Linked DNA regions of Mus musculus. The protein of the gene in region 5 interacts with the protein of the main gene of each other region in a biochemical or structural test. Links are inferred from orthologs where the notes say so. Each region holds a gene or a part of one and is shown on either strand. Other genes may lie near its edges.

Region 1 (4,764 bases), on a different chromosome or scaffold from region 5:
CACCACTGCCCGGCTCGTTTTTCTTTTTTAATTCCAAGTCCAGAGAAATTCACTCTCAAGAATGAAGTATCAGGCCACTGACACCCTTACTATCTTAAGTTAAAGAAAATTTGGGTCAGTGAGTCAACAGCCTCCCAAGATCTGGGTGTAGTTGAAGTCTGTAGGAAAAACTAGCTCAGCTGCAACACCAGCCACTTGAGCCTTAAGAAAACAAAGGCACTCGCACACACACACACACACACACACACACACACACACACACACACACATGCTCTTGTCATACTGGTGGGCTGTAAATGCCTACAGATCAGAAAGTCCACATATACACCCAGAGCCTAGCATGCTACCTGTTTCTTCCCTGTCGTTGTGATAAAACACTATCGATTAGGGGAGGAAGGGGCTTATCTGGCTTACACTTGCAGGTCACAGCCCATGATCACTGAAGCCCGAACAGAAACATGAAGCAGAGGCCTTGGAGGAGCACTGCTGCTCACTCGGGCTCACGCTGAGCTTTCTTCATTTTAAGGCTTATTTATTTATTTGGATTTTTGAGACAGGGTTTCTCTGTATAGCCCAGGCTGTCCTGGAACTCACTCTGTAGACCAGGCTGGCCTCAGAAATCAGCCTGCCTCTGCCTCCCGAGTGCTGAGATTAAAGGCGTGTGCCACCACACCCGGCGGAAGGCTTATTTATTTTATGGGTGTTTTGCCTGCATGTATATCTATACCACACGCCTGCCTGGGACTTGAGGAGGCCTGAAGAGGACACTGGATCCCCTGGAACTCGGCTTAGAGAGGGTTGCAAGGTACTGTAGATTCTGGGAATCAAATCCAAGTTCTCTGGAAGAGCAACTGGTACTTGTAACCACTGAACCATTTCCCTGGCTCCAAGCTGGCTTTCTTATACAGCCCAGGACCACCTGCCTGGGGCAGATGCAGCTCATAATGGACTCTATCAATTACCAAACCCATCTTGCCCCAGTGTGCCTATAGGTCACGCTCATCTGGGTAATCCCTCAGCTGAGACGTATTTCTTAGGTGCCTCTAGGCTGTGTTAAGATGACAGTTAAAGCTAACTAAGACACACAGTACCTGGCCCATAACAGTAGATGTTTGACATCCCCGAGCAACAGATTTTCCCAGGTAACACAAGTGTAATACTGACAGAACGAAATAGACTGAAATACTGCCACTAAAGAGAAGTACCTCTGGGGTTAGAGAGGTGGCTCAGTGGTTAAGAGCACTGATCGCTCTTCCAGAGGTCCTAAGTTCAATTCCCAGCAACCACATAGTGGCTCACAGCCATCTGTAATGGGGTCTGGTGCTCTCTTCTGGCCTGCAGGCATACATGCAGGCAGAACGCTGTATATATAAATAAATAAAACGTTAAAAGTAAATAAAAAGGCTAGTACCTCTATATGAATGTTTACTTACCATTGTGTCAATCTCCTCCAAGATCTTCATGAATTGCTCAATTGTTGCTTTTACTTTCCTATCAAGTTTGCAGAGAGCCTCCGCTTGCAATTCCTTAGCCAGAAAACCCTGAGAAGGAATAAGGCACTATTGCAAGTGTTTGAGACTCATGGAAAACCATGCCAATAGACTGGTGAAGCAACCCAGAGTTCACCACTGATCTAAGAAGCCCGGCTAGATCTCAGACCTTCATCCCCTGGGAAAATTAGAAATGCTTGCCTTGGCCAGACTAAGAATACTACCAGGGTGTGGACTGTTCTTTCTCTCACAGTCCACTGAGGCATGAATGCCCCCTGAGGAACTATGGTGCAGCCTTCAACACAGGTGCATACATGCACATAAGAAGCAGACATTAAGAGAACAGACTGAAAAGCTGGGCACAGTGCATCAAGGGTTGGCGTGAGGTGTCTTTGCCAAACACTGTGTGGTGGTTTGAATAAAAATGGCCCCCATATATTTGTATGCTTGGTCACTAGGGAGTAGTGCTACTTGACAAGGATTAGGAGGTGTGGCCTTGTGGGAGGAAATGTGTCACTGGGGGTGGGCTTTGGGGTTTTAAAAGCCCAAGCCAGGCCCAGTGTCTCTCTCTAAGTGTTGCCTGTGGATTGAAATGAAGAATTCTCAGCTACCTCTCCAGCACAAAGTCTGCCTGCATGCCACCATGCTTCCTGCCATGATGATAATGGACTAATTAAACCTCTGAACTTTAAGCCAGCCACAAATAAACGCTTTCTTCTTTTAAGAGTTGCTGTGGTCACGGCGCCTCTTCACTGACTAAGACTCTGCCTTATTTTTTGAGACAGGGTCTTTTACTGAATCTGGAGCTTGCCCAATTTGGCTAGACTGTTTGGGCAGTGAGCAGCTGGGATCCAGCCCTCTTCTCTTTGCCTCCCCCACACTGGGATTATACAGTGTGCCATCATGCCCAGTTTCTGCATGGATGCTGGGAATCTGAACCCAGGTCCTGATGCTGTGTGGCAAGCACTTTATCAGCTAAGCTACATTCCCAACTTTGGCTTAAGATCTTAAAGCAAGTTCCTTAAACTTGCCACGTCTCACTGATCTCAGATTATGGGATGCTGACCGGCAGATGTGTAGATGCTCACATAACTCATGGCACAGATAGATACACAAGATAACAGAGGATGGCGGTATTATTGTGGCTTTGGTTTTGAGACAGGATCTCTAACTCACTGCATAGTCAATGCTGCCCTTAAACTGATCCCGTCTCTTGCTCTGAGAAAAGCTGTGATTACGGTGTACAAGCCCACACCTGGTTGAGGTAGCACTTACTGTCATTAAACCACCCTGCTGTTCATTTGCATTTCTTTGCCTAGTGATCAGTTAGCGGGTGGCTGAGTTGAAAAGCAGGAATTTCTGAAGATGGCTATCAAACCAGAGTGACAAAGGCATATTTGTAAACACACAGCAAGAAGTTCGAACATTACTCAGAAATCCAAACTCAGTTCTATCAAAGACAATCACAACTACTCAAAAAGGACTCCTGTCTAAGGGCACTCAAAGCAGCAGCACAGTAAGAGAAAAAAATCAGGTAAAACAGAGAACAGAGACTAAGGTAGGTAAACCATGATATATTCACATGCAGGAAAATATGACCATTTTCAACAACACAGGAAAATGTTAATTTTTAGCCAGTAAAAGAACAATTTACCAAATGTATAGCATATTATATTTTAACTAAATAAGGTGAAAAATACTTTTCAGAGTAATAGCATCTCTGGGTCAGACATACAGACCTGCACACAAGAAGCACAGTAAGAGCCGGGCGTGGTGGTGCACGCCTTTAATCCCAGCACTTGGGAGGCAGAGGCAGGCGGATTTCTGAGTTCAAGGCCAGCCTGGTCTACAGAGTGAGTTCCAGGACAGCCAGGGCTACACAGAGAAACCCTGTCTTGAAAAACCAAAAAAACAAAAAAACAAAAACCAAACAAACAAAAACCAAAAAAACGAACAAACAAACAAAACAACAACAACAACAAAAGCAGCACAGTGAGAGCAGAGCTGAGCTTAGGACGTGAAAGGCCTCGGCTTGAATCTATCTATACGCACATATAAAACTTTTGTGTAAGCATCACAAACTAATTTTATAATTACAACACAAAACAGGACTGGAGAGATGGCTCGGAGATTAAGAAGGTGTACTGTTCTACTAGCCGACCTGCGTTCTGCTCCCAGCATCTAGAGGCTCACCACCTCACATCACCCCAGCTCTGGGGGGTGTGGGGGGTGTCTTCCTGGCCACCAGCACTCACATCCACCTACTCCAACACAGACCCAGGCAGACTCACACATAATTAATATATAATTTAAAAATGAAATAAATTATTTTTTAAAAAGCCAACCAGGCAACAATACCATACCACTCTATCCACAGAATAGAGAAGTCACCTGCTGGATGCCAGAAAGCTCTTTATTCAATTCTTGCAGGTGGTTAGCTATCTTCTCTGCAGATACCTCCAAATCTTTCAGCTTCTTTAACTCAACCTCTTCTTCTGGATTGCTCTAACATAAAGAATAAAACGAGGTCAGTAATTGCTCACCTAAAACAACTGAGCCAACCTCTTGTGCTTCTTGGAAAGCAAGTCAAAGGGTTAGACAACAGGATTCCTATCCATAAAGCCCAGCCCAGGGAGAAGGAAGGCCAAGCGAGCATCCTAGTGAGACTCCTGAGGACTCATGCTCAGAGAATGGAGCTAATCCAAGTGTCAGCCTCAGCCTCAGCCCGGTGCTGACCCCAACCCCAGCAGCTAGATTAGAATGTAGCAAGGACCAGAGGAAACTCACTGCTCTTCCACAGGACCTGGGTTCAGCTTCCGGCACCCACACAGTGGCTTGCAATGTTTTGTAACTTCAGTTCAAGCATATCCTGTCCTTCTATGGCCTCCCGGGGCATCAGGCAAGCACACGGTGCACTCATACCAACACAGGCAGCATCCCAGTATACCCCAAATAGGATAAATACATCTTTAAAAAAGTACAGTGTAACCAGGTTCAAGTGAACACCACGAAGGCATCCAGAATGAGAAGACAGACAGAATTCTATCCCACAGCTTCCTAAATGTTGAGATCACAGATAATGTGCTACCACACCCAGCAGCATGACATTTGTTTTTCCAGAGAGGCAGAGTCTCAAATAGCACAGGGTGCCCACAAGCTTACTATGTAATGGGAGGACGATCCTGAATTCCTGATCCAGCTGCCTCTATCTTCCCCAGGCTTGGCTCATGACTAAATTCTTTTAAATGGAAATGTCACCCTCCAGCTGAATTCT
Region 2 (5,417 bases), on a different chromosome or scaffold from region 5:
GGCACCGGAACCATCATTCCTGGGCCAAGCCCAGCAGCGTGCCAAGCACACGCTAAGTATAGAACAACAACACTGCTGACATTTGTTTTGCAGCTAATATATATCACGGGGCTCTGAGTGCCAGGCATACATCTGCTCCATCCCTCAGTGACCCAGGGGGCAGACAATGAGGGCACTGAAGCACAGAGTCGCCAAGGTCCCAGGAAGAAGGGCCTGTCCCATGCTGTCTGTCCTGCACTCTGGGGGCCACCTCCCACCATACACATGCTTTTCTATCCAGGTCACTGTGGCTATGTCAGCCGCCCACTGGCAGTTCTTACATGTGGTGGAGTTCCGGTCCTAAAACCCTGATGTCCCCCACTGAACTGACCTGTGAGTCTGTGCTTTGAGGTTGCACTGCTGTGCATACAGAAGGTGCTCAATAACTGATCCCTGACATGAGAGACATTGCAGATACTTCTGCAGGCATCAGGCTCACCCAAACTTCTCACTAGCCTGCTCTCAACCTGCTCTGGCTATGAGGACTTCTCCCTTCACCCAGTCTACCTGTCTGGCTCCTGCTGCTGTGCTGAGAAGAAACCACCGGAGACCTATGGCTTAGTTTCGCCCACCCAGTCCTTCTGCAGGGAGGAGGGCTGCTGAGCCTCTCATTAGATGGAAGACAAGGAGTGAGCCAGCAGACCCCAGGGATGTCTCCTTGTCCCAGCTTCTAGCCAGGCCTCCCAAGACACAATGAATGAAAGGAGAGAGTCAGAGAAACAAGGCAGAGTCAGAGGGCAGCAGGGAATCAGAGAGAGGAGGAAGGGAGAGACAGGAATGAAGGAAGAGAGAAAACAGAAGACTCACGGAGGGAGGGGGTGCGGCATGGAGTTAGAAATAAGAGCCGGAGGATCAGAGAGGGGTGGAGACAGGCGAGGAGAACCTATGGCTTTCTCTGCTGACAGACCTAGTCTTTTCACATGGCTTCAGCCACGTGGGGCAGTGTGAGGCACCCAGATACCTGGAAGCCAGGTGACAGAGCATCTGTGGCTCCACCTCCACAGGAGACTGAGGGAAGCCCTAAAGCCCTGTAGGCAGAGTCTCCCCTGCCACCTGCCCATCTCACTCTGCTCCTCAGCTGGCTAACTCCACAGTGGGCAAAGACAAATCCTAAATGCCAGAGTGGGGTTTGGGGCAGGGGAATGAAAGGGTTGAATAAGCCTGAAGCCTGCAGAAGCATCTGCAATGTCTCTCATGTCAGGGATCAGTTATTGAGTACCTTCTGTATGCACAGCAGTGCAACCCCAAAGCACAGACTCACAGGTATGCATTCAGTGGGGACATCAGGGTTTTAGGACCAGACCTCCACCACATGTAAGAACTGCCAGTGGGCGGCTGACACAGCCACAGTGACCTGGACAGAAAAGCATGTGTATGGTGGGAGGTGGCCCCCCAGAGTGCAGGACAGACAGCATGGGGCAGGCCCTCCTTCCCAGCAGCCAACCTTGGTGGTCTAGAGAGAAGTGGGGAACTGAATGTATGAAGAGGGACCTGGATGTAAGCAGAGTGCTGGAAGGTACCTCAAAGATAGAAGTGGGGCTGTCCCCAGAAATAGTGCCCATCATCCCTAGGCATGTCATGCTGGGGCTGCCTTATTCTTATGAGACGCTCTGCAGGAACAGATGGGGACTCTAGTTCTCAGGAAAGTTGAGTGGCTGCCCGAGTCCAATCTCACCTCTTCAAAACACCACTCCCACCCCTCTAGTGGCTTCAACTAGTCTTCTCCTAATAGCTCTGACTCAGTGGAGCCCCAGTTGGCACTGGACAGGGAATGACTCTGTGATCCATGTTATAGTCCTGTTTCCTCTCTCCCTCTAGGCAGCTGGGGTGGCATCCTGCCCAGGACTCTGCATACCCTGCCAGCAGCTCACAAGCAGTGCAACTGTGGGCCATTCACCCTTGTGTCTGCCCCAGTGCTTGATGGGAGCTGAACAGGTACAGATTGGTCAGGATGAGTTCCTTGGGTGCACCCCAGAGCCAGGTTCACTACACTACCTGCCACACCTGTGTGCACATCCCAAGCCTCTTAGGACTGACACGCTGTAGTCCTGACTCCTCCCCTAGGCTCTGGGGAGTCTCAGGAGCTTTACAAAGCCACCCTTCCCATCCTGGGGATGTCAGGAGGGCAGAGAACAGGGGGCATCTGTTTCTGGATGATCAGCTGTGTCAGCACAGAACCTCTGAGTGATCTGGTTTGTGCACTCAGCTCACCTCTCTGTTAAACGTTGGGTAGAAACAAACGCAACACGGTCAGGTACCCAGAAACCTTTCCAATACAAGACTCTTTTCTTTGGGCAGTCTCTCTGAGTAGTCATGAGCCACCCGGCTGCTCCCAGCCCCGTGGACGACTTGCAGGGACTCTTTTTTGTCCCTCTGAGGCTTAGGAGGAACCTGAATCAGAGAGTCCAAAGCCGGTCGTTGCTCCAGACCCTAGTCTAGCTTCCAGGAGGTCCAGGACAATCCAATACCCTTCCTCATCCTTCGTGGACTGGTGGCAGAGGTGGGCAAGAGAGTGTGGCTCAGAGGCCCCACACACTGGCCACTTGAGTTCAGGAAACCATGGTAGCAAGGAAACATTGCAGGAAATGCTCCAAAGCTCAAGGGACGCTAGGATAGGTTAAAGGACCCCTGATCATTCTTGCTTGAGGTTTTATCTAGGGAGGGTAACTGCCTCTTCCTCTTGAGTCTCAGTTTCCTCCTTTTAAAGTGGACTGTCTCTTGGTCTAAAAGAAAGCTCCCAGGGACAAACGGAGCACACAAGAGCTCAATAAATCCACTTTCCTACGCTATGTAAGGGGCTAAAGACCACCAGAGGTAGTAGGCTAGGCATCTAGTGAGCTTAATGCTCTACGTGTATAAAGCATCTCAGCACGTAGAGGGTACAGTTTAAGTTTCCTTTGTCATAAAATGCCAGCGTCACCGAGCTTGCGTCCCTCTACTGAGCCGGCTGCCCCACTCCACCTAGCTACCTCTCCTGTTCTATTGGGATGTCTCCCTTACCTGAGAACAGCGGGACGGACCCCGAGCACGGCTTGGAGGGCTCCCTGGAAGCTCCTGGAGGTGCGGGGAGCCGCCTGCCGCTCCGACCGCTGAGTCTCCCGGCGTCTGCGGGGGCTCCAGGGTCACTGCGTACGGATCCTCCTGCGCGCGGCGCCCGGAGCTGGGCTGAGCGCGACAGGGCGAGGAGGCCCGCGGATCAGGGGATGATGACCCATGGGTGGGCTCCGAGGGCTCGGCGGGGCTGGGGCGCTGGGCTGGCTCCGGCTCGCCGCCGGCGGCCCTGCCCTGCCCCGACAGGGGGGACTCCGGTTGAGCCAGGTGCTCGAAGGTTTGGGGACGTCCAGTACGGGGTGCCCCCGCCTGGAGCTCCGCGCTGAAGGGGAAGGGGCACGACTCCGGGGATATAGAAGCGAACCCCGGAGACTCAGGAGGACTTTTGGGGGTGACGATCGGCCTACGAACCCGCCTGGCAGCTTACGTTACCTCCTTCTCTGGACGCAAAGCGGGTGGCCGCGTGCAGGGTAGAGGGGTTTGTGCGCCGGGCCGTCCTTCCCGGCTGCCCTCAGTCGGGCAGCCGACCCTCGCGGAAAGGACCGCCGCTTGCTCCTCGCCCGACGCCGCTAGCTGCGCTCAGCGCGCAAGTGGGAGGGGGCCTCGAACGCCGCCCCGAAGCTCAGCAGCTCCAACTTCGCCTGAAGCCCACGTCGCTCCGCACTGTGCCTCCTCTCCCCAAGCGAGGAGAAGTTTCTTAGGGTGGGTTCCTCCCTCGTGCTCTCCCGGTGGCTCAAGCTCGGGCTCCAGATGCGCAACCTACGCCTACCTCGGGCCCTGGCGCGCGCTACGTCCCGAGCCCACCTGCCCAGCGCCGCCGCCTGGGCTCTGCCGCCTGCACCCCGCCCCCGCCATGAGCAGCCAATCAGCGGCGGGTCCCGCGGCCAGGTCCCGCCTCCGCCCCACCCCAGTCTAGGAGCCGCGGCAATCTGCGGCTACGCGTGCCCGGGCGCGTGGGGCTGGGGCCGCGGGGGAGGAGGGCTATCCCGAGGCTTCGGCCACGCGCACCGTGACCGGAAGACCGTAAGGCACGGGCCTGGGAGGCTGACACTGAGCACGCACTCGCCCGCAAGCCAGCCCAAACTGTGGGAACCCGCTCCTGACCTCCCAACCTCGCCCTGAGCGAACCTCCACCCCCTCCGATGCCCACCTACGTTCGCCGGGAGCCCGGTCCAGGCCGCGGCTTCCATTGCGAACGCTTGGCCTGCGGAGCACATGGGCGGCACACGTGCAGCCACGAGGGGCCCTGAATCACCTTGGGTAATGGAAGCAGCTCAGAGTGAACTCTATGGAGAGACCTCCTCTGGCTTGGTGGGACCTAGTCTTCCCGTCCCTGACAGAGCCAGAGCGTGCTATCCTAGGGAGCGCTTTGAACCAAGCCAGACATCAGGCGTTCTTGCTTCCACGGGCCACATATTTCTTAATGTTTTCTTTAATCCAAGACCCGCTACCCCCAACACATTTTTCAGTCTCATTAATGTCATTGCCTTACATGGGAAGCCTGTGTCCCAGGCCATAAATAGAAGGTTAGTATAAAACAAGCCCGAAAACAAAGCAAGGCCTCTGAACTGCAGCTGGAGCCTGCCTTTATCCAGGGAGATGTGCGGGCGAGGCTTGGAAGGGGTGGAAGTTCTTTCGCCCAAAGCAGACATTTTTCTACGGACTCCTTTAGGTGGACCAGAAAGAAGTAGGTGCTGTGTTCCCTTCAATTCCTGGTCCTGCGCATAGGGAATGTCTCCTTTGTGGGACAGCCTTCTCTGGGAGCTGTGTGTGTCATAGGCAGGAAAGCCTGGGTGAGAGCTCTGTGCTCCAGTTCTGTCGCTCACCACCCAAATGTTCCTCCCTGGACCAGTTGTGGAAGTCTCTGGTCCATGCTTGGGTTATTTTTGAATGAGCATCAATACTGCCAAGTCCATTGAGTAACAAAATCGTTAACATGGCCTTGGGCTTAAAACACAGGAAATGGGTTGCTCATCAAACATTAAAGTATCTTGACATCCTCCAGGAATACTATATGAGAGAAGATGCATCGGGATGGGGGAGGGGCCAGGAAGAGGTGGTTTGCCGGTCCCCTTGGGCCGGGGTTTAAGGCCTAAGTCTAGGCTTCAATGTAGCTAAGAGACTTGCCCAAGGTCACCAGTAGCAAACAAATGGCAAAATCCTAGTCCTGTGCCCTTTCCCAAACCAGACTTGACTTCTAGGAACTAGCTTTAGCCCGGAGAGTTTGCACTGGGCCTGACGCACAGAGCCTGTGAGCTTGGCAGCAGGAGGCAGCCAGAGCAGGGTGCCTCAGCTGGAAGGCTGCAGCTGGGAGGACTCAGGCCACC
Region 3 (5,426 bases), on a different chromosome or scaffold from region 5:
GCTTTTGCTTTGCTGAGACAGGGTCTAAGTAGCCTAAGCCATCCCCAAACTCATCTGTGCTTGGTGCTAAGTTTATCGGCATATACTACCATACCCAGTTCTGCATTTGAGACCACTGAAAAGTAAATCAAATGTTTATGAATTCCATCACCACCTGCCACACACACACACACACCCCACACACTGGCCCAGGGAGTGTCTGTCTCTGCCTAGCATGGGATGGGAGGGAAGCAAAGAGGACACACGTTCAGCTACCTTCCCTCCCCATGGCTGTTTGCCCTGGTCGTCTTCATTCACAGCAGCTCTCCTTCATGGAGCTGGGGTACACCTCTGCTCCTCCCAGCAGCAGGCCCTGCTTCTACTGCGCTCCCTAAAGCTGTTTGCAAAGCTGTCAGTGTCCCTCCCCCACTTCAAACCTCAGGCTTGCCCTTCCTCCTATGAGTGTCCCCACCTTTCCTTCCAGTCTCTCATCCCAGACCCTGTCACTTTGTCCTAGCATGATGCCAGCCAATTGTCACCTCCTTCCTGTTGAAGCACCGAGTAGATGTAATACTCAAGGCAGCTCCTCTTTTGGGGGCTAGACCAGCACACCCCTCAACCACAAGACAGAAGCCAGGTTCCTCAGTTCCATGTTGCTGGGACAGCTCTAAAGAGGGGGCTTCTAGCCTGGGGTTGTCTGGACAAGGCCGGGCCCTTCACTCTGCAGACTGGAGTACTGTGACGAAGCAGTGCGGGACCCCAGCCAGGCCCCACCTGTGGACGTGCACCAGCCGCCTGCCTTCCTCCACAAGCTGCTGCAGCTAAGTGGGGTCTGCCTATACTTTGAGGAGCTGCCCTCCCAGGCAGACCCACCACAGCCACCTCTGCAGATCGCAGCTGCACGTGGAGCTCATGGTGAGGCTGAAGCAGAACAAGGCCTTCCCAGGCCCCAAGGTGAGTCCCAGCCATGGGGAACTTGATCCGTGGGGCTGGAAAGACAGCTCAGGGGTTCAGAGCACTGGCTGTTCTTTCAGAGGTCCTGAGTTCAATTCCCAGCAACCACATGGTGGCTCACAACCCTGTATAATGGAATCTGATGCCCTCTTCTGGTGTGTCTGAAGACAGCCACAATGTTCTCACATTAAGTAAACAAGTTAATTAATTAACTAATTAATTAACTTTTTTAAAAAAGGAAAGAAAAAGAAATCTGGAGATATGCCCAGCAGTGGTGGTGTACATCTTTAATCCCAGCACTTGAGAGGCAGAGGCGGATCTCTTGAGTTTGAGGCCATCCTGGTTGAGCACAGTAATCCAGGACAGCTAAGGCTATACAGAGAAACCCTGTCCTGAAAAACCAAAAATTAATAATAATAAAAACTAATAAAAAAGGAATAAGAAAGCTGAAGGTTAAAAGAAGGGATGGGGGGAGGGGACTGGAAAAATGGCTCAGTGGTTCAGAGCATTTATTGCTCTTGCACAGGATGTGAGTTCAGTTCCCAGCAACCACCTGTAACTCCAGCTTTTTTTTTTTTTTTTAAAGATTTATTTATATGTAAGTACACTTTAGCTGTCTTCAGACACTCCAGAAGAGGGAGTCAGATCTCGTTACGGATGGTTGTGAGCCATGTGGTTGCTGGGATTTGAACTCTGGACCTTCGGAAGAACAGTCGGGTGCTCTTACCCACTGAGCCATCTCACCAGCCCCCTGTAACCCCAGCTCTAGGGGATCCAACACCCTCTTCTGGACTCCAAGCCTGCACTTGCACATGTGCATTTTACACGGGCATACATATACAAATAATTTAAAAAAGGAAGTGGAGTGCCAGGCATGGTGACCTGTGATCCTAGTACTTGGTAGGTAGAGGCTGGAGGATCAGGAGTTCAAGGCTAGTCTCAGCTGTATAGAAGTTTGAGACAGTCCAGGGATACATGAGGGGGTAGGGATAAGTTAAGTTCTATGGAGCCAGTGACAAACCTGGTTGAGCTCAGATTTCTCTGGCTATACAGGGTCAGCAATGGGAAGTGGGGAGTATAACCAGTATCTCCAAGGCCTCTCCTTCCATCTTGGCACTCACTCACACTTTCCAGCTTCACACGGCTCTTGTTTGTCACTTAGGGTCACCTGCCTGTCCCATCTGGGCAAGAATAGTCGGGCTGAAGGCGAGCCATAGAGTAAGAAAGAACCTACTGAGCTGGGCGGCGGTGGTGCACGCCTTTGATCCCAGCACTTGGGAGGCAGAGACATGAGGATTTCTGAGTTCAAGGCCAGCCTGGTAGTAAATGCTCTGAACCACTGAGCCATTTTTCCAGTCCCCTCCCCCATCCCTTCTTTTAACCTTCAGCTTTCTTCTTCCTTTTTTATTAGTTTTTATTATTATTATTTATTTATTGGTTTTTCTGTAGGAGTGAGTTCCAAGATAGCCAGAGCTACACAGAGAAACCCTGTCTTGAAAAACCAAAAAATAATCATTTTAAAAAAAGAAAGAAAGAAAGAAAGAAAGAAAGAACGAACGAACGAACGGACCTACTGGCCACTTCTTGGGCTGGAGAGATGGCTCAGTGGTTAAGAGCACTGACTCCTCTTCCAGAGGTACTGAGTTCAATTCCCAGCAACCACATGGTGGCTCACAACCATCTGTAATGGGATCTGATGCCCTCTTCTGAAGACAGCTACAGTGTACTCACATACAATAAATAAATGAATAAATAAATAAATAAAGAGAAAAGTCACTTCTTTGGGGCTCTGCTTACCTCCCACTGATCTTGGGGACATAATAAGGGGGTCTGTTTTCAGCATTCAGTGAGTCAGCTTAATCATTAAGGGCATACCATACATCTCTGTGAATTAGCCCAGTGATGGTTTGTAGAAGAAGCAATCTGATGAAAGGAGCTATCTGGGGCTTCCCAAGAATCTTTAGGAAGTATGGCTGCAACAGCAACGTAAGGGGCACCTGAGAGTCAGGGGGCATGGGACAGGCAGATAATGGTAGTGAGGAACCTACCTCCATGATGACTGTTGGTGGCTGCCCGTCCCTGCTGATGAATGTTGCTCCCCAGGAGACCTGGGGCCAGGTAGGGACCTGGCTGGTCCTCAGTGAGGCTAGGGCCCAGGCCCCTATCTGTAGCACTAGCGTCTTCCTGCTCACTCGGCTCAAACTCTGGGATCTGGAACATACTCTGGGCTGTAGAGACAAGGTAAGAAGTACTCACTACACAGCTAGGCAAACAGTGTTTATGAGAAGCAGAGGAGAGGTACTCCTGTCTCCCTCTCCCACCACGGTAGCTCAACTCCCCAAATCTTCCCAATCCCTCATTTGTCTGCTCAGTCTGCCTGGCTGTCGCCCGAATATTAAATCTCTCTTCAGAGCTCTGTCCAGACACTAGTGCGCTCCCCCTGCCCGTTAGGACCGGGAATAGGTCTCACCCCAAGCCCGATCTCGAGGCCCCTGACCCGGGCCTGCCTCCTCCCTCCAGTTCTAAGGGCGCCCGGCCCTAGTTTCCTGGGCGACGAGAACTGTCACAGATCTGACCCAATCAGTTTTCGAAGTAAATCCCGGGTCGGCCTGGAGGCGGGGCCACCCCAAGCCAGGTCCCACCCCTGCGCCGACCTGCTGGTCTCCACCGCCTTCCTCCCGCGTCGCTCCCCAGGCTCCGGATTCCGGGATCGGACTTCCTCAAGCCTAGGGCGTGTGCAGGAGCCAGCGAGGGCTGCTTTGGGGTTCCCATTTGGATCCTGGAGGCCTGCTTCGGCTGATAAGTCCTCCAGCCCTTCTGGGCCCGAATTCCCTCCTGTAAAATGGGGTTAATGACACCTCCCTGGGGAGCTGGTGAAAACTCTGTAAACAGCTTAGTGATTACTTATAGAGCCGTTCACTGAAGCTCGGCCGTCGGATGCAATGGTCGTTGCGATGGTTATTGCTCCCCCTGGACCGAGTGACCGGGATGGGAAGACCAGCTCCTTCTTCCCGATCGTGGAGGCCTTGCACTGCCCGTCTTGGGGACAACCCCCCGCGCCATTTCGGGAGCTCCTTTACGGCAGGATGGCCGCCCGGGTGCGGAAGAAGGGACGGGGCGCCCAGGAAGGCGAGCCGTGGGGCTCCAGGGGCCTCTGCTGCCAGGATAGGTGTGCGTACGCTGCCCCGGGCCGGAGCGCGGGGCCTGCAGACAGAAGCTAGGGGGCGGGGTCCGGGTACCATCTTGGTTGTGGGCGGAAGTTTCCTTCAGTGACCCTGTGCGGGGAAGTCGTTGCCGCCCCCCATATGGGCACGCCGAACGCGATGTGGATTTGGGAATCTAAGCGTGGGAAATGGTAGTCCCCAAACATTAAGAGCTGGCGGTCCATGGCACTGGTAGCCCAGGTGCTTGCTGCGTGCGGCCTGCTCTACTCTCGGCCGCCCGCCGCCATCCGTAACCCGGGACACCCGCCGGCAGCGCACCTTGCGGCGATTCTCGAAGAGATGCACGCCGGGCGCGGCGCATGGCTTCGGAGTCCCTGCCGGTCGCTACGCAGTTTACGTAGCGAACGGACGTCCGCGCAGGCGCAGGAGTGGGGCGGAGCAGAGGGAGCCGGGGAGCTGGAGCCCGGTGTCCCGGCGACCGGATCCCGCTTACCCCGCAGCGGCCTGAGACCTGACATCGACTTCCTCTTATTCACCGGGGCTGAGGGTGGACGCGGTGGGGGAACACGTCTGGAATCTTGAGGACAGAGGAAGAAGCCTCCCAATCCGGATTATTGGAGGGGAAAGAGGAACCAAGCTTGGGGAGGGGGAGAGCGGGGCGTTGGGCGCCCCCGCAGCGGCCGCTGTCCTAAGCTGACGGGCATCGGCCGGCTCTCCCCCTCCTGCCAGCCGGACACGAGCAACCAAGGCCAGGGACTCTGTGCCACTGCATCCTCGCATCTTGGCTCTGGGGCTGGCCCAGGGAGGGACACCCCCAACCCCCATTTCATTTGCCCTGGGTAGGAAAGACCACTTTATACACTCCAGAGTGACGGGTCTAGGGCCCAGGGCCCAGGTTACCCGTGCCCACCCCCACCCCCACCCCCACGCCCGACTCTGCTGAGAAGGAAAGGCCTGACAACCTCAACTTCTTTTTTCCAGAGTTTCCAGGTCTCACCACCTATTGCAGGTCCCACCCCTCCGTATTTATTTCCCTGGCTTCTGGCCAGCCCTCTATCTCTGTCTCCGGGTTTCAGGCCTCCCTCCTTGACATGGAGAGTAACCTGTCTGGTCTGGTGCCTGCAGCTGGGCTGGTACCTGCACTGCCGCCTACAGTGACCCTGGGGCTGACCGCTGCCTACACTGCCCTATATGCTCTGCTCTTCTTCTCTGTCTATGCCCAGCTCTGGCTGGTGCTTCTGTATGGGCACAAGCGCCTCAGCTATCAGACAGTATTCCTGGCGCTCTGTCTGCTCTGGGCAGCCTTGCGTACCACACTTTTCTCCTTCT
Region 4 (4,764 bases), on a different chromosome or scaffold from region 5:
TTTTGTCTGAGAGATCCCCCTCTATCTTGCTAGCTGCAATGAACAGTTGTAGAGGCAGAAGTAAGCCGAATAGTCTTTAGAGTGCTGCTGTGCATAGAAATGAAAAAGAAAACCCATCCCTGCCTGGTGGTGGTGGCGCATGCCTTTAATCCCAGAACTCAGTGGGCAGAGGCAAGCTTATCTCTGTGAGTTTGAGGCTAGCCTGGTCTACAGAGTGAATTCCAAGACAGCCAGGACTACACAGAGAAACCCGGTTTCAAAACCAAAAAAACCCAAACAAAACAAAACAAACAAACAAACAAAAAACCCCCAAAACAAAACAAACAAACAAAATAAAAAAAGAAAGAAAAATCTATTCCCAAAGATGTCTTCGAAACTGCCCAAACTTTGTCACCCCAAAAGAGTGTTGCACACGTGCAAAAAGTTAAGAGAAACAACTAATACTCCTGCAGTGTTGATTTGGACAATTCATACTGCTCCTTCCACTCTCTGGAAGGACAGAGACCAAGTCTAGGTGGTGGGGGTGCCCACCCACCAAAGCACACCATGTGTGGTTTACCAGCTGCTCTGGACCCAACTGCCTCTCTCCAAATTTGATCCTGGAGCTACTGAAAGCACTGAGGAGCAGGGGCTGGAAAAAGGCCATGTGGGTCTCGCTAGGAGGCTACCCTTGGCCTCCTCTCAACTCCTACAGGAACACTCCTGAAGATATGATCCTCAAATTACATTCTCCCTGGGTGTCCTTCAGGTATAACGCCAGCAGGGCATGGTGGTGTAAATAGCCATTGTCTATTTAGGGGCTAGCTCAGCTGTGTTGGGGTACCGGGAAAGGCTGGGAAACACAAGCCCTGGTCTCTGTGTAATAAGAATATTCTGACAAGCTCAGGCACGGTGTCCTCATAGGCCCAATTCAGTCAATTTTCTACTCCATTGGCAGGTTCCACATCTGTGGGTTCAGCCAGTCCTGAGTTGGAAATGTTTGGGCCAAGGGACCACCTCTGAATCAGGCCCACTCACACGTTTCGTAAGCCAAACACTTAGAAGGTACACTGTCACAATTGCACAGCTCAACCCACACAGCTTCCTATATCAGCAGGTATATGAACACAAGAGACCAAGAGCAGCCTGGGCTGTATAGGAAGTCCCTGTCTCAAAAAGAAAAAAGGAAAAAAAAAATGGCAGAGAATATGGGAGTGTAGCTCAGTGATAGAGTGCTTTCCCAGTATGTACAAGACTCTGGGTACCACACATGTGTATATGCATATACACATGCATACATAGGGATATGTATGCACATACACATGCATACACATAAACACATATACACATGTATAGACACATATGTAGATATACACCCAAGTACACACATAGTATATGTGTACTTGTATATGTGTATATATTTATGTATGTGCATACAATTGCACATATACACACACACTATATATATGCATACACTTGCACACACACATTGCTTCAGTATTGGGCAAGTACAGCTCTTTGTTTACACTTCCTAAAGGGTACTACCACACAGCAATTTTGCTGTATGCATCATAAACACTACAGAAATGAGCTGACTACACAGAAAGACATGTGTGTGTGTGTGTGTGTGTGTGTGTGTGTGTGTGTGTGTGTGTGTGTGTGAATGCAGACATCATACCACTTTCTTGAGGGATTCACACATCTGAGAGTGAGTCGATCTTTGGCATACTAAGGATGACAACTCATAGCATGCTAGGCTTTGCTCTACCCACTGACCAGTGCTGTGTCCTCACACCAACCACATGAGGTAGACACTGTCCCTGTCTCAGGCAAGTAGACCCTGGGACAAAAGCATCGGGTCTCAGTCCCACAGCTCTGGGGTCACACAGCTGGTTGGTTGTCAGGTTTAGAATTTAACTCCTCTCAACTCTGCATGCTCAGTGGTGCTGGACTGCAGTAGCCTTGTGAACCCCGGGATTCGCTGAAACCCTGACATGACGTGACTGCCCCTCTCTCCGTAGGAACCTAGAAGTTTTCTACATGGAGATGGGGAACATCAGCTGTAAAATTGTTCCTAAGTGCAATCTATACAGACAGAAGATCACGGCCTGGCAGGCGCCGATAGTCAAGTTCCACACGGCTTTGGATGTGAGTGAACTGGGTTGGCTGAAGGAGAACGTGGGGCCCTGACTTGCCTTTAGTTCACTTTTCTTGGGAACTTGGAGGGCCAGGTTTGCAGGAGTCAGGCAGCTATTGCCTGGAGTGGTGGTCAACCTCCCTAATCCTAATCCTTTATATAGTTCCTCATGTGGTGGTGACTCCCAACCATAAAATTACTTTTTGTTGCTACTTCATAACTGTAATCTTTACTATAGCTATGAATCATAATGTAAACATCGGATATGCAGATGGTCTTAGGTGACCCCCGTGAAAAGGTCATTTGACAAGCCCCCAAAGGGGACGTGACCCACAGGTTGAGAACCACTGGCTTGGAGGTTGTGTCTTTCCTACGGTGGACTCATGGCTGAAAGCTCTGGATTCTTGAAGTATGCAATGTGTCCTTCTGGTGTTTGAAATCATCTAAAACAGGACACCAGAGTCTTTTGGGAACTGTGACTACTTCTTTTCCTGGAAAATAACTTTGATACCTGTTCTGGAAACTTCCTTGGGCTCGAAGGTTCAGAAAGCTTAGGGACAGACCATGCAAACGGGAAAGAGGGGAAGTTTCCGATTTCATCCTTCTGGTTGTTGTTTTCCTCTTGTTGTCTCCTGGCCCAGACAGAGCCCACAAGGCATCAGTGGCTGAGGCTGGGGTACCAGTGTCCAGAAATGACATGGCAAGTCACAAGTGTGGGTAGACAGAAGGTGCTGACCCTTCTGTGCAATAGGGCAGGAAGGGACTACAGGGTTCTTTCTCCTCCCCAGTGCGGCCCCAGAGGCCCCGTGCCACCCACCCTGATCAGGCAGATCAGACCTGGCAAAACAGGTAGCCAGGGAAGCAGCATCACCAGGGTTGCTCATGAGGGTGGGTCTGGCTTGTCTGTCTCCCTCCAAGTGCTTTCACTACTGGAGATCAAATGTGACGCCTCCCAGTTGATGCGGCTGATATACAAAGCTGTGCTGGCTTACCTGGGGTACAACTGTGACACTACACACCTTTCCAGTGGGCAGTCTTCCCTCCAGGACACTGAGCAGCAATACCCCCTCCCCCACTCTCCCTCCTCGCTGAAGACCTCAGCCAATGTCATGCCTAGGAACAGAGTCAAGAGGAACAGAGAAAGGACAGCTACTGCTGCTACACTGGGCAAGACTCCAGCCCCACCCCACTCCCACCCCGGCCCAACGTATTCTATGGAAACCCAGCATAGCCCTGTAGGGTGAGACCTTTGTCTTCACCAAAATTTATTAGTTCATCAATCCCTGGGGAGTCGCCAGCTCTGTGTTGCTATTGCTGCAGGGGCCCACTAGGTGGAGCTGTAGACTGCCAAGTTCCTGACCTCCCCTGGAGGGAGGAACTGGAGACCAGTTCTGAGTCTGGTTTCACTGAGTTTACACTGATGTCCTGGAGCATGCATGCAGAAGAGAGAAGTGTGTGTGTGTGTGTGGGGGGGGGGAGGGGTCTGCCTCGTCCAGAAATCTATTGTCTCAGCCTGCAGGTGAAGGGTAGAAGTGAGAGAAAAGAGGCTTAACGCTACCAAGGAGAATCAAGACTCACCAAGGAAGGTTTGGTGGAAGCAGAGGGCAGAAAGAAATAGGAGTTTTGTGCTAGCACAGATCTAATGCTTTCTGAAAAATGTAAGACTCAGGGGAAGGTAAAGCCAGGGGTACTGAGAAGCTTGCACTGTGTGGCACTTGATGCTGGGCCCTATTTATGCTGTGGGTCCATTCAATTCTGTCATCAGACCTGTGAACAAAGCATTTGCTTTTGTAAAGGGGTTAGTGGTAAGTACCAGGATCCTTGCTGGATGGTGTTGCTAGTGCCCAGACCAAACAATGGCTTCCATTCTCTCTGCTAGATCCCCAATGGAATGTCAGGAGCTGCTTGTGAGAAGAAGCAGGGAGAGGGGCTGCGGTCCGGGGGTGGGGTGGGGTGGGGGGGAAGCAAGGGTTGTTCTGATGTGTGTAAAGACCTAGCGGTGCTGAGCTGGGTGGTGGCAGTGCTAGGCTCAACACTAGAACCCTGGGCTCTGGAGGCCAATCACTCCCAAGGGCTCTGAGGGGGATTTGAGGGAGGGGATGCTGAAAGCAAGCTCCTCTGGTGAAGACGGAAAGGAGGGTGGGGAGGACAGAGGGACTGTCCTTAAAGAAGGTGGCAGTCTGCCGGAGCTCCCTTGAAGAGTTTCAGGGAAGAGGCAGCTGTAGCGGAACAGGTGGAGGCAGAGAGGAAGAGGTGCCATATTGGAACAAGGTACCTAGAAAGCCAGGCGTGGGTAAGAAGGGCTCGATTCTTCAGCTAGAGGAGGAAGTTATTGCCTCAGAGTCCCCAGGGTTGATGGGAAATGGTAAGAGTTGGCACACGGCTTAGCGGAAATACCACCTCATTTCCAAATTTAAGTGACCAGCGTTGCTCAACTGTCAGGGGACTTGCCCACCCCCCACCCTGCCAAGCAAGCCCTGAAGCCTTGGCAGAAGTATGGGGCAGGCCTCTGTTGCCCCATCTCGGGGGTGGGGTGGGGTGGGGGTGGGGAGTACCTGCCTTTCCATACCACTGCACAGGCTTCTCCCATCTTTGAGCTTTGCTTCCACCTCCAGGAAGCCTTCCCTGACTACTGGCTCTGAACTTTA
Region 5 (4,548 bases):
TGTGAGGTGAAATGCCTGGCTTGGTTTGCAGAGCAAATCCAAGTTTCAATATGCAGAGCACAGTGCTACCCACCAGTTAGCTGAAGGGCAGTGAGGTGGTTAACTGAGTGATTTTTCTCCTTCACAGCTATTTGCATGCAAAGAACATCATCCACAGAGACATGAAATCCAACAGTATCCTTTGGTATTGAGTTCTCAGCTTAAGGACCCAAAAGGGCCTTTTTGCACACATGGTTCATGGTGCCAGAATGGGGAGAAGGGGACTTTTAAAGGAAAATAGAAATATAGTTGAGAAGCCAAACATGGTGATCATGAGAGTTCCTTAAGGTTTTATTATTATTTTTTTTAACCAACAGTGATCTGGAAATAATTCCTTCTGAGGCGATACACACTTGAAATAGACTTGAACTCAGCCTGGTTAGATTATCCAGAATATAGCTTGAGAAGGTTATTGCATCTATTTCTATTGAGCCTATGGAAGGTGTAAGCCTGCATACAGATGGGAAAGTATCTGATGCATGTATCTAATACCAACAAGTCATAAGTGATTGCTGCCTCCTGCTCACTTTTCAGACCAGCATAATGTCAGCCATATAGTAGACCAATGTGATATTTTGTAGAAGAGACATGAACAAGATCCCTTCAAACTAAGTTATGACACAAGGCTGGAGAGTTAAAGGTTTACTGTTGATCTTTCTAATCAAAAGCAATTGCTTCTGGTGGTCCTTATGGACAGATACCAAAGAAAAAGGCATTTGCTAGGTCAGTAGCTACACATCGTATATCAGGAAGTATGCTAATTGCTCAAGTAAGGACACCACATCTGGTATAGCCTGTCACTTTTTACAGTCCATCTGTCTTCTGTACTGGCCATGAATCACCACCCCTGCATCTTTCAAGTCTTTGATGGTAGCACTGATTGCTGCAATTCTGCCAGGGATGTGACACTTTTGGTTCCCATCCCTGGCAGAGACCCTGCTAAAGGCTTCCATTTAGCTTTTCCCAGGGGAAACAGTTTGAAGGCCCACTGTAACTATTGTGAGTCAGACTTCAACCAAAATTCCACTAATCACCTGACCTCCTATTTTTAACTCAAAGGACACAATATTTCTTAAGGTCTCCTGGAATTAGCATCTTAGAACCAGTATCCCAGAATTCCAGAAATTTCAAAATGGCTACTTTCTGTTAAATGTACAGAAGTCAGCCTAGAGGCCACTGTTAGAAATAGCATCTCCTTACCAACTGCACCTTTCATGCTGTAAGATGGCACATGGCAGGGTGGTTAAACTCAGCTGTTCTGCATGGCCAATGAGCTATGCTTATTCGGTGGCCATGACCTCCTTTCTTGAGGTCATTCTTTTTCGGCAGCTAAGCACTGGGCCAAGATTTAAGGCTTGAATTCCAATAAATCAGCAGGTCACAAATCAGACCAAAATTGCCTGTTACCTAGCAGTAAGCTGACAGAAGTCACAATGTAGACCAGTTGGGTGGTAAACCTGAGTACCAAATGTAGGCAGAGGGGATAAGCAGTGTGGGGCCCTGTAATTGAGTGTGCGCATGCCATCGTTCCCTGTCTCCTGAAAGATTTAGTAGTGAAGTGAAGGAGGCCAGAAGCACTGTTATAAACAGTATAAACTGTCAGTCTCCTTAACAAGCATCGAGATATATTTCTCCATGAAGGCCTCACGGTGAAAATTGGAGATTTTGGTTTGGCAACAGTGAAGTCACGCTGGAGTGGTTCTCAGCAGGTTGAACAGCCCACTGGCTCTGTGCTGTGGATGGTGAGGAAGCTGGCCCCACACAACATGATGGAATTACTGGGCCAGAGTAGGGTGCAAAATTTGACAGCATTTCTGCACAGCCATGGGGGTCTGGTTGATCTGTGGTGTCAGTTAGCTTAAGGCAAAACCGCATATCCTGGCAAAGCAACAGAGGCCAGCGCCTGTGGGGTTTTGTGGGAGGAGCTACCCTGGGCTAAGGACTTGAACTTCCTTCCTGACTAGTTAAAATAGCCTGGTTCCTCAATGTCTCTGGAGGTCATTCCCTAGGGATTAACACACTTCATCCTTACAGGCCCCAGAAGTAATCCGGATGCAGGATGACAACCCGTTCAGCTTCCAGTCCGACGTGTACTCGTACGGCATCGTGCTGTACGAGCTGATGGCTGGGGAGCTTCCCTACGCCCACATCAACAACCGAGACCAGGTGATCTGCATGGCCGGGCGACACAGTGAGGGGCTACTTAGTCCTGGGACTCTCCTTCACAGACTCCTTTGTTCAACTGTTTCTTCTTTAGATCATCTTCATGGTAGGCCGTGGGTATGCATCCCCTGATCTCAGCAGGCTCTACAAGAACTGCCCCAAGGCAATGAAGAGGTTGGTGGCTGACTGTGTGAAGAAAGTCAAAGAAGAGAGACCTTTGTTTCCCCAGGTTAGAGAGCTCAGTTGAAATATAACATTCTAAGGATGTAAATGTGGGCCAGGATTGGGTCGGTGGAGAGAGGACCTCCACAAGCTCTTGGTATGGTTGGGGAGATACCAAGTTTCCAACTAATGAGACCACGTGGGGCCTTGTTTCAGATCCTGTCTTCCATCGAGCTGCTTCAGCACTCTCTGCCGAAAATCAACAGGAGCGCCTCTGAGCCTTCCCTGCATCGGGCAGCTCACACTGAGGACATCAATGCTTGCACGCTGACTACATCCCCAAGGCTACCAGTCTTCTAGCTGATGATGTAGCTGTTCTTAGGCCACCAGGGGACGAAGAAGAGTCAGCAGGCACCACTTTCTGTTTCCTTGGGGGCAGAATGCATGTTTTTGGAAAAGCTGCTGCTGCTAAGGACCTAGACTACTCACAGGGCCTTAACTTCATATTGCCTTCTTTTCTACCCCTCCTGCCCTGGAAATGGAAGCTGTCCACCAAGAAAGCCTGCTCAGCTCCAGAGGTATACAAGTCAGCTGAGTATTTGTAGGGCAAGTGGCCTTGGAGAAGGTAGGGCACTCCGGCTGCTGCAGGGACATGCAATTGGGAACTTGGCTCCTTGAGCCTATATGGACAGTGGTGCAGTGCCAGTTTTGCACATGGAGTCCTGGCCACCTGGGGGAGCCTGCTTTGGTACTACAGAACTTTGTGGACAAACTGTGTCTAAGGTGTCCTGTGTGGATGGCTTTCCAAGCGCGGTGCTCCACCTTTGGCAGCCTCCCACGTGCTGAATCTGTCTTCCAGGAGCTGCCCCTATGGGGTGGGCCGCGGCCCAACCCTATCTGTAGCCACATCCTTGTCTGTAAGAAAGCCAGGAATACAGGTTTTCTTAATGATTTTGGGTTTTAATTTTGTTTTTATTGAGCCAATACAGTTGGTTCCTTATGTTATTTTAATAAAATAAATTAAATTTAGGTTTAATGGCTACTGACTCCTTCAAAACTTGCAGTGCAGTTTCTTGTGCAGACAGAACTCAAGGAGCCCCCTCTGCAGTTCATGAACAACCAAGTGAAAAGCACACAGGTAATAACAGGTTTTCTTATAAAAATAAATTCAGGTTCAGGACAAATTTGCTCTTTCTTGCCCCCAGTTCTTAGACAGAGGAGTGACTGCTCCTGTTTACCACAAAAACAAGTGTGGAGCCTACTACTTTATAGGGGAGAACAAGCAATCTGTGAGTCCTGTGTCTTGTGCTCTTAGTACAAGGGGAGGGTAAGATGGAGTCTCCCTGGAGATCTTCACAACTGCACACACCTGTGACTTGAGACACTGGAAGGAACTCAATAGCCACCCTCACAGCTGTAAAAGTCTACACTATGGTACAGCAGCACCAATATGGCCAAATGTGTTCTCACTACACAGCTGCATCAATTCCAAGGCTCGACAACTCTATTAGAGATGATCACTGCAGAGGAGCCTTCTACAGGGCTGGCGATGTCTTGGCAAGGAAAAAAAAAAAAAACCAGATCTGCTGCAAGTTTACTGTTGCTTAAGGAAGAAAGTCACAAAAGAAAGATGGCAGTCAGGTTTCATTTAAAAGCACTCAATTAAAACAGCTGGACCACATAGCTGGTCCCGGAGAAAGGGGTTGGAGGTACAACTGAGAGCTCAACTCTAAATGTAGTGATTCTGTGGACGTGGTGATCTCCCTTCCCTTCCCAGGGGGACTCACTACTGCACTCACATCCCAGTACCACGTCACCTCGGGTCGGTGACAGATGCGTCCACACCGTGCCTTGGAAAGTTGACTGCAGAGCCAAATGAAGGCGTCAGCACTGACTAGGGTTCTGATGATTCTACTCCAGAAAGGTGCATGAAGAGGTCTCCTAGCTCTGTCACATCCACATCGTCAGTGCTGGGGACTTGCCGGGTTTCTCGGTTCTCGATAAAATCCCAAAGCCGAACTGAGTTAAAGAACTGCAAAAACAGCCAACAAGCACCCCTGGGTCAATGGAGATAGCAGCAGACGATGAGTGCCAGCTTGTATTTTGCTTATGCTGACTCCTGTTCTGCTGCCAAAGCTACTAGGAGCCTGGGCAGTAAGCACCCAGGAATGCCCACTACTTACC
Region 6 (5,340 bases), on a different chromosome or scaffold from region 5:
CACACACACACACACACACACACACACACACACACTAAACTTCTTTGGAGTGTGGTATAACCACATGTGTACAGGTGTGTGTGAGCAGAGCGGTCAGAAAGAGATGTCAGATTTTCTGTCACTCTCCACTTGATTCCCTTGAGACAGGGTCTCTCAACCTGAAAGGCAAGATCTCCATTTTCTAGACAGGCAGGTGGCTAGTAAGCCCCAGTTCTCCAGTCTGTCCCCACCACCACACTGTCTTGTACAACTTCACATGGGTTCTGGGGACTGGAACTCAGGTCCTCACAGTTAAACAGAAAGTACCCTACTCACTAAGCTATCATCCTATCCCTCACCACATTTCTCAAACAAATTATGTTAGAAAAGGACAGATAATTGATTGGTTCAGAATCCAATGTGATTATGTTCTACGGGGACAGATAATTGAATGGGTCAGAATCCATTGTGATTATATTCTACGGGGAACAGTCAATCACGTCAGGTACCAACCTTTCCCTAGGAAGAATCCAACAGCATCAGCTGTGTTCTGACAAGGTCTAACTCATCTACTCTTTTTCGAGACAGGGTTTCTCTGTGTAGCCCTGGCTGTCCTCGAACTCAGAAATCCACTTGCCTCTGCCTCCCAAGTGCTGGGATTAAAGGTGTGCACCACCATGCCCGGCTGACTCATCTACTCTTGCTGAACTGCCACTCACCAAACCACAACCATTTCATTTTATAAACTTCCACATCCCTGTGATCTCGTCCCTCTTAGCAATACAAGGAATACACACAACAAATAAGCTTTTGGAAAGATGATCTAATGACAAACTAGATTACCAACACTCTGGAAGATATTCCAGAGAGACTACCAGACGCAAGACAGTTTACTTTTTTGACAGTTTTGACTGGAGGAGTCCTCACTAAGGACTCAGCTGTAGTAACAACAACGCACCATGAGGAAACTGCTACATATGGCCACCACCAAAATTAACAAAAAGGACCTCCATAAAAGCCAGACTGAATTACAGGTGACATGTCCATAAAACTTCCCTACTGCAAGTATCAGGAAAATACTGCAGAAGGAAATTTTACTGACTTGAAAGCCTAATAATGAAAAAAAAAATTACATTTCAGTTTTTGCTGAAGGCAAACTTAAAAGTCTGTGGCATCATCAAGTAACAATGCCCAGCAGTCTAGTCAGAACAGAAAACAGCATTTACGCAAGAAAACAGTAAAAAAGGACATGGCTGCCAATCCCCACCACACCACATCTAGAAACAGTGAAATTTCTATAGTCTGCCACCACACACATCTCTAAGTTCTAATAAGTGGTCAATTCCCAGAAGAGTGGCTAGTACATGCTGAAAAGACCAACTACTCCTCTACAAAGAATCCAGAAACTAGAAAATATGTCCTTCATATGAAAGCAAACTAAAGTTAAATGCAACATTAGCAATAATGTAGTATCTTACTTTAGGCATTACACTTGAAAACAAGTATAGAGAATACAGGCTGCAACACACCAAGGGCATTGCATACAGGTCTACAATCCTGTGTTCCTCCCCGGGCTAGCACTACACTTACAACCAGCAGCCCAGAGTGAATGTTTGTGAGAAGGATAGGAGTAGCCAGACACATCTATCCTGGCTCTAGTGGGGCTTTCCCAGGAAAACCAGTCTAGGCTATACAGTGAGTCGAGGACTACCCGGGTTACATAAGACCTTGCCTAAAAAAATCAGGATGGTTTTCTATTGACAGAAGTTCTTAGCAAAGGAGACATAACACTACACTTATTTAAACCCATTGCCATTTCAAAAATTACAATAAAATCCAGACTGGTAGAATATTCTCTTGCATTGAAAACAGGTAACCCTGATACTTGTGACTTATTTATGCCTTGCATTCAAGATTACTATCTTCAATTAGTTATCTGATTAGAGGGTACTCAATCAACAGCCAAGTTACATCATGGTCTCATTCTCCAAATTTGGAGGGAATTCAGAAAACAGTATGGTGACTCAGACAACCAACACTGGTTACATCAGGAGTTCTATCTTGGTGTGAATGGATTCACCGTAATTTTGTGCCTGTTAACTCTAGGGTTGCAATTGTTAAAGCAGTCACCTACTCTTTCCTACTATGAACACCTCAGCACTGCACTATGCACGTGTCACCTTTCCACTCTAGGCACTCCCATCTGTCACACTGTCTCCGATCTTCCATTCCCTTCCTAAGGAGTTTCTCCAGTTCTTGAGGAGAGAAGGTGAAAAGTAAGCAGGCCCTGACTGATCTTGGTCAAAGAGCACAGAGCCGGGCACCAGCAGTGGAAAGCAGGGTGAGAACGCAGAATGAACCGCCTAGCAGGAGCCCATCCAGTGGGGAAGGTGTTCTACTGCCAGACTCTCCACTCCTCAGTGGTCCCTGTCAAACGCACATTTTCTGGAGACAGTTACATCTTTCAAACAGCACTAAAGATGAACGTGACAGTCCCCTGTTCCGGTCGGTCAAAAACAATAAAGCCTCACCCTGCAGCGTGGTTAAGTTCAAATGTCCTGTATCACACGATGGACTGAATACTACTGTCTGGACACCGCGTTCCCTCCCCACCCCACCCAGGACCACCTCTATTCGGCAAAAAGGTGATTACTAGGAACAACTTTAAATGTATGTCAATCGCTTGGTGGTGGTGTTAGGAAAACAAACGGGCTTTTGAATTACTTTAACAGCCTGGTTCCAAGTGCCTGGCCTTGTTTCTCCTCAAAGGGGAAAAGAAAAATAGGACACATTAGAGACGTCTTTCTCCTCTTCCCTGTGCTGGCTGCCAGATGCTACCTAGCTGGCCTGTGAGGGGTCCAGTCTAGGTTTCTTGGAGGCGGAAAACTTGGTAGCCAAACGTCTTGAAGTTTCCCTGTTTTCTTTAAAAGGCTTAACTTCTTTGCAGATGGAAAGGTCACAAGGAGAGGTTTCCTTTGTTGAAATGCCCGGGGCTTGTGGGATTGGGGAAACGGGTGGGGACAGACCGTGCTTAGAGAAGGCGGGACAGATGCGGGGATCCGACTAGGCTGCTCCGGGCCGCAAGACTCCCGGGCAGTGGCCCGCGGCTCCTACGCCGAGGGAAGGACGCGGCCGCCTCGGCCTGCCGCCCCGCCACCTGTCCGCCGCGCCTGGGGACAGGGGAAGGCGCCGCCGCCTCCACTCAAAATGGAGGTTATGAAACGCGCGCCGCCCGCCCGCCCGCCACATGGCCGCGCCGCCACAAACTTCGCAGGCGCGTCCGCGTCCTGGGGCTCAGCCCCGACATCGCCCGGGCCGCCACTCACCCACAGACCGGTAGCCCAGGATGGCGATCTTCCGGGACTTGGACTGAGGCATCTTGGTGGCCTGCTCAGCCCCGACCCAACCACATTAACCGCGGCGGCGGCGGCTCCTCCGGCTCAGACTATCGGCGGCGGCTGCGCCGGGAGAACGCGGCATACAGAGCACGGCGGCGGGCGCGGCTGCCTCTCGCTCGCTCGCTCGCTCGCTCCTTCTCTAGCTCGCTCAACCGCCCGGAACCGAACGCGCGGGCCCTCCCCCAACAACACACCCACGTGACCGCGCGCGGCCCCGTCTGCGCCGCCTCCCGCCGCCGCCTCCCAGCCCGGAACGCGCGGGGGAGCGTCGGGGAAACGTTTTACTTTAAAGGGAAAAAGCGGAGACGCCCCAAAGCCCCCGGAAAAGTCACGACCGAAACTCGCTGCGTCATGACCCTCCCACCTACTTCCGCCGCTTTTTAATTACGACAATCCTGCCCGAGCTCTGACTGGACGGCTCCCAGACTGCCGCGCGATGACGCAATGGAAACTCCGTCTTCTATTGGGGATTGGAAGGGTGGAGCCAAGGAGAGGTGCCGCTCAGCGGGGAGCTAAAAATAAATTCTGTCTGCTTTTGCTCGGCGGGGCGCCTGCGTGGTCCAAAAGCGTGGCCCTACCGGCGGGTGGGCGGGCGGGCAGGCAACTCCTCAGTGATTGGCTAATGTGGGTGCGGGGGCGGAACCAGAGGCGTGAAGCACGGTGATTGGTGAAGTGCTGAGCCGTTGGCCGACTTGCGCCTGCCGGCCCTTAAAAGGAGCGAGGCGCGTGGCCCTAGCTGACGGACTGTAGGTTGGCTGACACCTCGCTTCGCACTTGTCTATACTTCAAATTACCGTCCTGCTATGTTAGCTTTAGTCTGGGCTTAACGTGGGTGGTGACTAAGCTTTATTCGTGGCTGAGGAACTGTGGGAAGAATGAAATCTGTGCAGCTCGCAAATGTCAGAAATTCCATTAAAAGCAGCGCGAGCTGACCAGTCCTGGTGCCGACTCGGGCAACACGCCGGGTGGCACGCACCTCGCACAGACAGGCGCGCGCGTGGGAGTCCTGCAGCCAGATCAGTGCGTCTTTTCATACTGAACACTCGAGAGGTTATTTCTGGAGAAACGTGAAAGTCAGCCATTGTCAAAAACGCCGAGGAAAAGGAGGAGGCTTAGCTGTCTGGTGTGGGCGGGCCATGCCTGAAAAGGGAAGGCTGTCATATTTTCTACAACAGTCGTACAGGCAGAAAGCTCTTGTTTCCAGAGAACTAGAGGAGTTGAGATATCCTCATATTGAAGAACAGGGTGGAAAGCTAGACCCTAGGCCTAGTTCATCGAAGTCCAAACTAAAGGCTAGGCCTGGAAATAAAGGTGCCAAGAGAGAACAGCACACTTGTCCTTAATTTTTTGCCCTTCACAATAGACTTATTTTTATAGGGTCTCACGTAGTCCAGGCTGGCCTGGAATTCTTAGAGATCCACCTGTCACTGCCTCCGAGGTGCTGGGATTAAGTGCTGTTCTGCTACCTTGATCTTTCAATTCTCTTTTCTCTGTCCAAATGCTAGGATTACCGACTTCCAAACCATGTTTATTCGGTGCTTGGGATTGGACCCAAGATGAACTCAAGTTCTCAGAGAACTGAGCCATAACTGCCTTCCCCTTTGAACTATCTTAAGTATTTTAAAACAGACTCAGGTTAAACGTATATTCAGCAGATGCCCCAATCCACCAGTGTTCTTGAGCTCGTAGCACTTTAGTCCGTGGTAATGTAGCTAGCATAAGGTTACCTTGCAGTGGGGTGGGAGGTTCAGCAAGTTGCATCAACCAGTAAAACCACTTGCTACACAAACCTCACAACCTGACTTTGATCAGTGTATACCAAAGTGGAAAAAGAACTGACTCGTGGTTGTTCTTTGGCCTCTATATCCGTTCTAGTTTATGAACACATCTGCACACTATTACTGCTGCTGCTGCTGCTGCTGCTGCTACTACTACTACTATTACTACTACTACTACTAAATAG

Evidence for each region.
Region 1: the proteins of Raf1 (region 5) and Bag1 form a complex in vitro, tested with the Homo sapiens proteins (2 studies listed by BioGRID). The link is inferred for Mus musculus from reciprocal best matches to the Homo sapiens genes RAF1 and BAG1.
Region 2: the proteins of Raf1 (region 5) and Rasd2 form a complex in vitro, tested with the Homo sapiens proteins (2 studies listed by BioGRID). The link is inferred for Mus musculus from reciprocal best matches to the Homo sapiens genes RAF1 and RASD2.
Region 3: of the proteins of Raf1 (region 5) and Bad, one has a biochemical effect on the other in vitro, tested with the Homo sapiens proteins (2 studies listed by BioGRID). The link is inferred for Mus musculus from reciprocal best matches to the Homo sapiens genes RAF1 and BAD.
Region 4: the proteins of Raf1 (region 5) and Pebp4 form a complex in vitro, tested with the Homo sapiens proteins (2 studies listed by BioGRID). The link is inferred for Mus musculus from reciprocal best matches to the Homo sapiens genes RAF1 and PEBP4.
Region 6: the proteins of Raf1 (region 5) and Rheb form a complex in vitro, tested with the Homo sapiens proteins (3 studies listed by BioGRID and IntAct). The link is inferred for Mus musculus from reciprocal best matches to the Homo sapiens genes RAF1 and RHEB.

The regions. Positions count from the first base shown.
Region 1 is NC_000070.6:40,937,644-40,942,407, forward strand, and holds part of Bag1 (BAG family molecular chaperone regulator 1), read right to left. Parts: intron 3,996-4,764; coding exon 3,882-3,995; intron 1,542-3,881; coding exon 1,434-1,541; intron 1-1,433. UniProt on the Homo sapiens protein: Co-chaperone for HSP70 and HSC70 chaperone proteins. Acts as a nucleotide-exchange factor (NEF) promoting the release of ADP from the HSP70 and HSC70 proteins thereby triggering client/substrate protein release.
Region 2 is NC_000074.6:75,211,701-75,217,117, reverse strand, and holds the start of Rasd2 (GTP-binding protein Rhes), read right to left. Parts: upstream 3,175-5,417; 5' UTR 3,040-3,174; intron 1-3,039. UniProt on the Homo sapiens protein: GTPase signaling protein that binds to and hydrolyzes GTP. Regulates signaling pathways involving G-proteins-coupled receptor and heterotrimeric proteins such as GNB1, GNB2 and GNB3.
Region 3 is NC_000085.6:6,940,602-6,946,027, reverse strand, and holds the start of Bad (bcl2-associated agonist of cell death), read right to left. Parts: upstream 3,467-5,426; 5' UTR 3,404-3,466; intron 3,162-3,403; coding exon of another isoform or gene 3,154-3,161; coding exon 2,982-3,153; intron 1-2,981. Other genes in the region: integral membrane protein GPR137, read left to right, coding at 4,320-4,589, 4,814-4,936. UniProt on the Homo sapiens protein: Promotes cell death. Successfully competes for the binding to Bcl-X(L), Bcl-2 and Bcl-W, thereby affecting the level of heterodimerization of these proteins with BAX. Can reverse the death repressor activity of Bcl-X(L), but not that of Bcl-2.
Region 4 is NC_000080.6:69,849,628-69,854,391, forward strand, and holds part of Pebp4 (phosphatidylethanolamine-binding protein 4 isoform a precursor), read left to right. Parts: intron 1-2,000; coding exon 2,001-2,127; coding exon of another isoform or gene 2,128-2,169; exon of another isoform or gene 2,170-2,333; intron 2,334-4,764. UniProt on the Homo sapiens protein: Promotes AKT phosphorylation, suggesting a possible role in the PI3K-AKT signaling pathway.
Region 5 is NC_000072.6:115,617,442-115,621,989, reverse strand, and holds the end of Raf1 (RAF proto-oncogene serine/threonine-protein kinase), read left to right. Parts: intron 1-127; coding exon 128-174; intron 175-306; exon of another isoform or gene 307-1,662; coding exon 1,663-1,781; exon of another isoform or gene 1,782-2,073; coding exon 2,074-2,205; exon of another isoform or gene 2,206-2,296; coding exon 2,297-2,431; exon of another isoform or gene 2,432-2,580; coding exon 2,581-2,724; 3' UTR 2,725-3,421; downstream 3,422-4,548. Other genes in the region: Mkrn2 (probable E3 ubiquitin-protein ligase makorin-2), read right to left, coding at 4,259-4,396, 4,548-4,548. UniProt on the Homo sapiens protein: Serine/threonine-protein kinase that acts as a regulatory link between the membrane-associated Ras GTPases and the MAPK/ERK cascade, and this critical regulatory link functions as a switch determining cell fate decisions including proliferation, differentiation, apoptosis, survival and oncogenic transformation.
Region 6 is NC_000071.6:24,838,880-24,844,219, forward strand, and holds the start of Rheb (GTP-binding protein Rheb), read right to left. Parts: upstream 3,483-5,340; 5' UTR 3,358-3,482; coding exon 3,306-3,357; intron 1-3,305. UniProt on the Homo sapiens protein: Small GTPase that acts as an allosteric activator of the canonical mTORC1 complex, an evolutionarily conserved central nutrient sensor that stimulates anabolic reactions and macromolecule biosynthesis to promote cellular biomass generation and growth.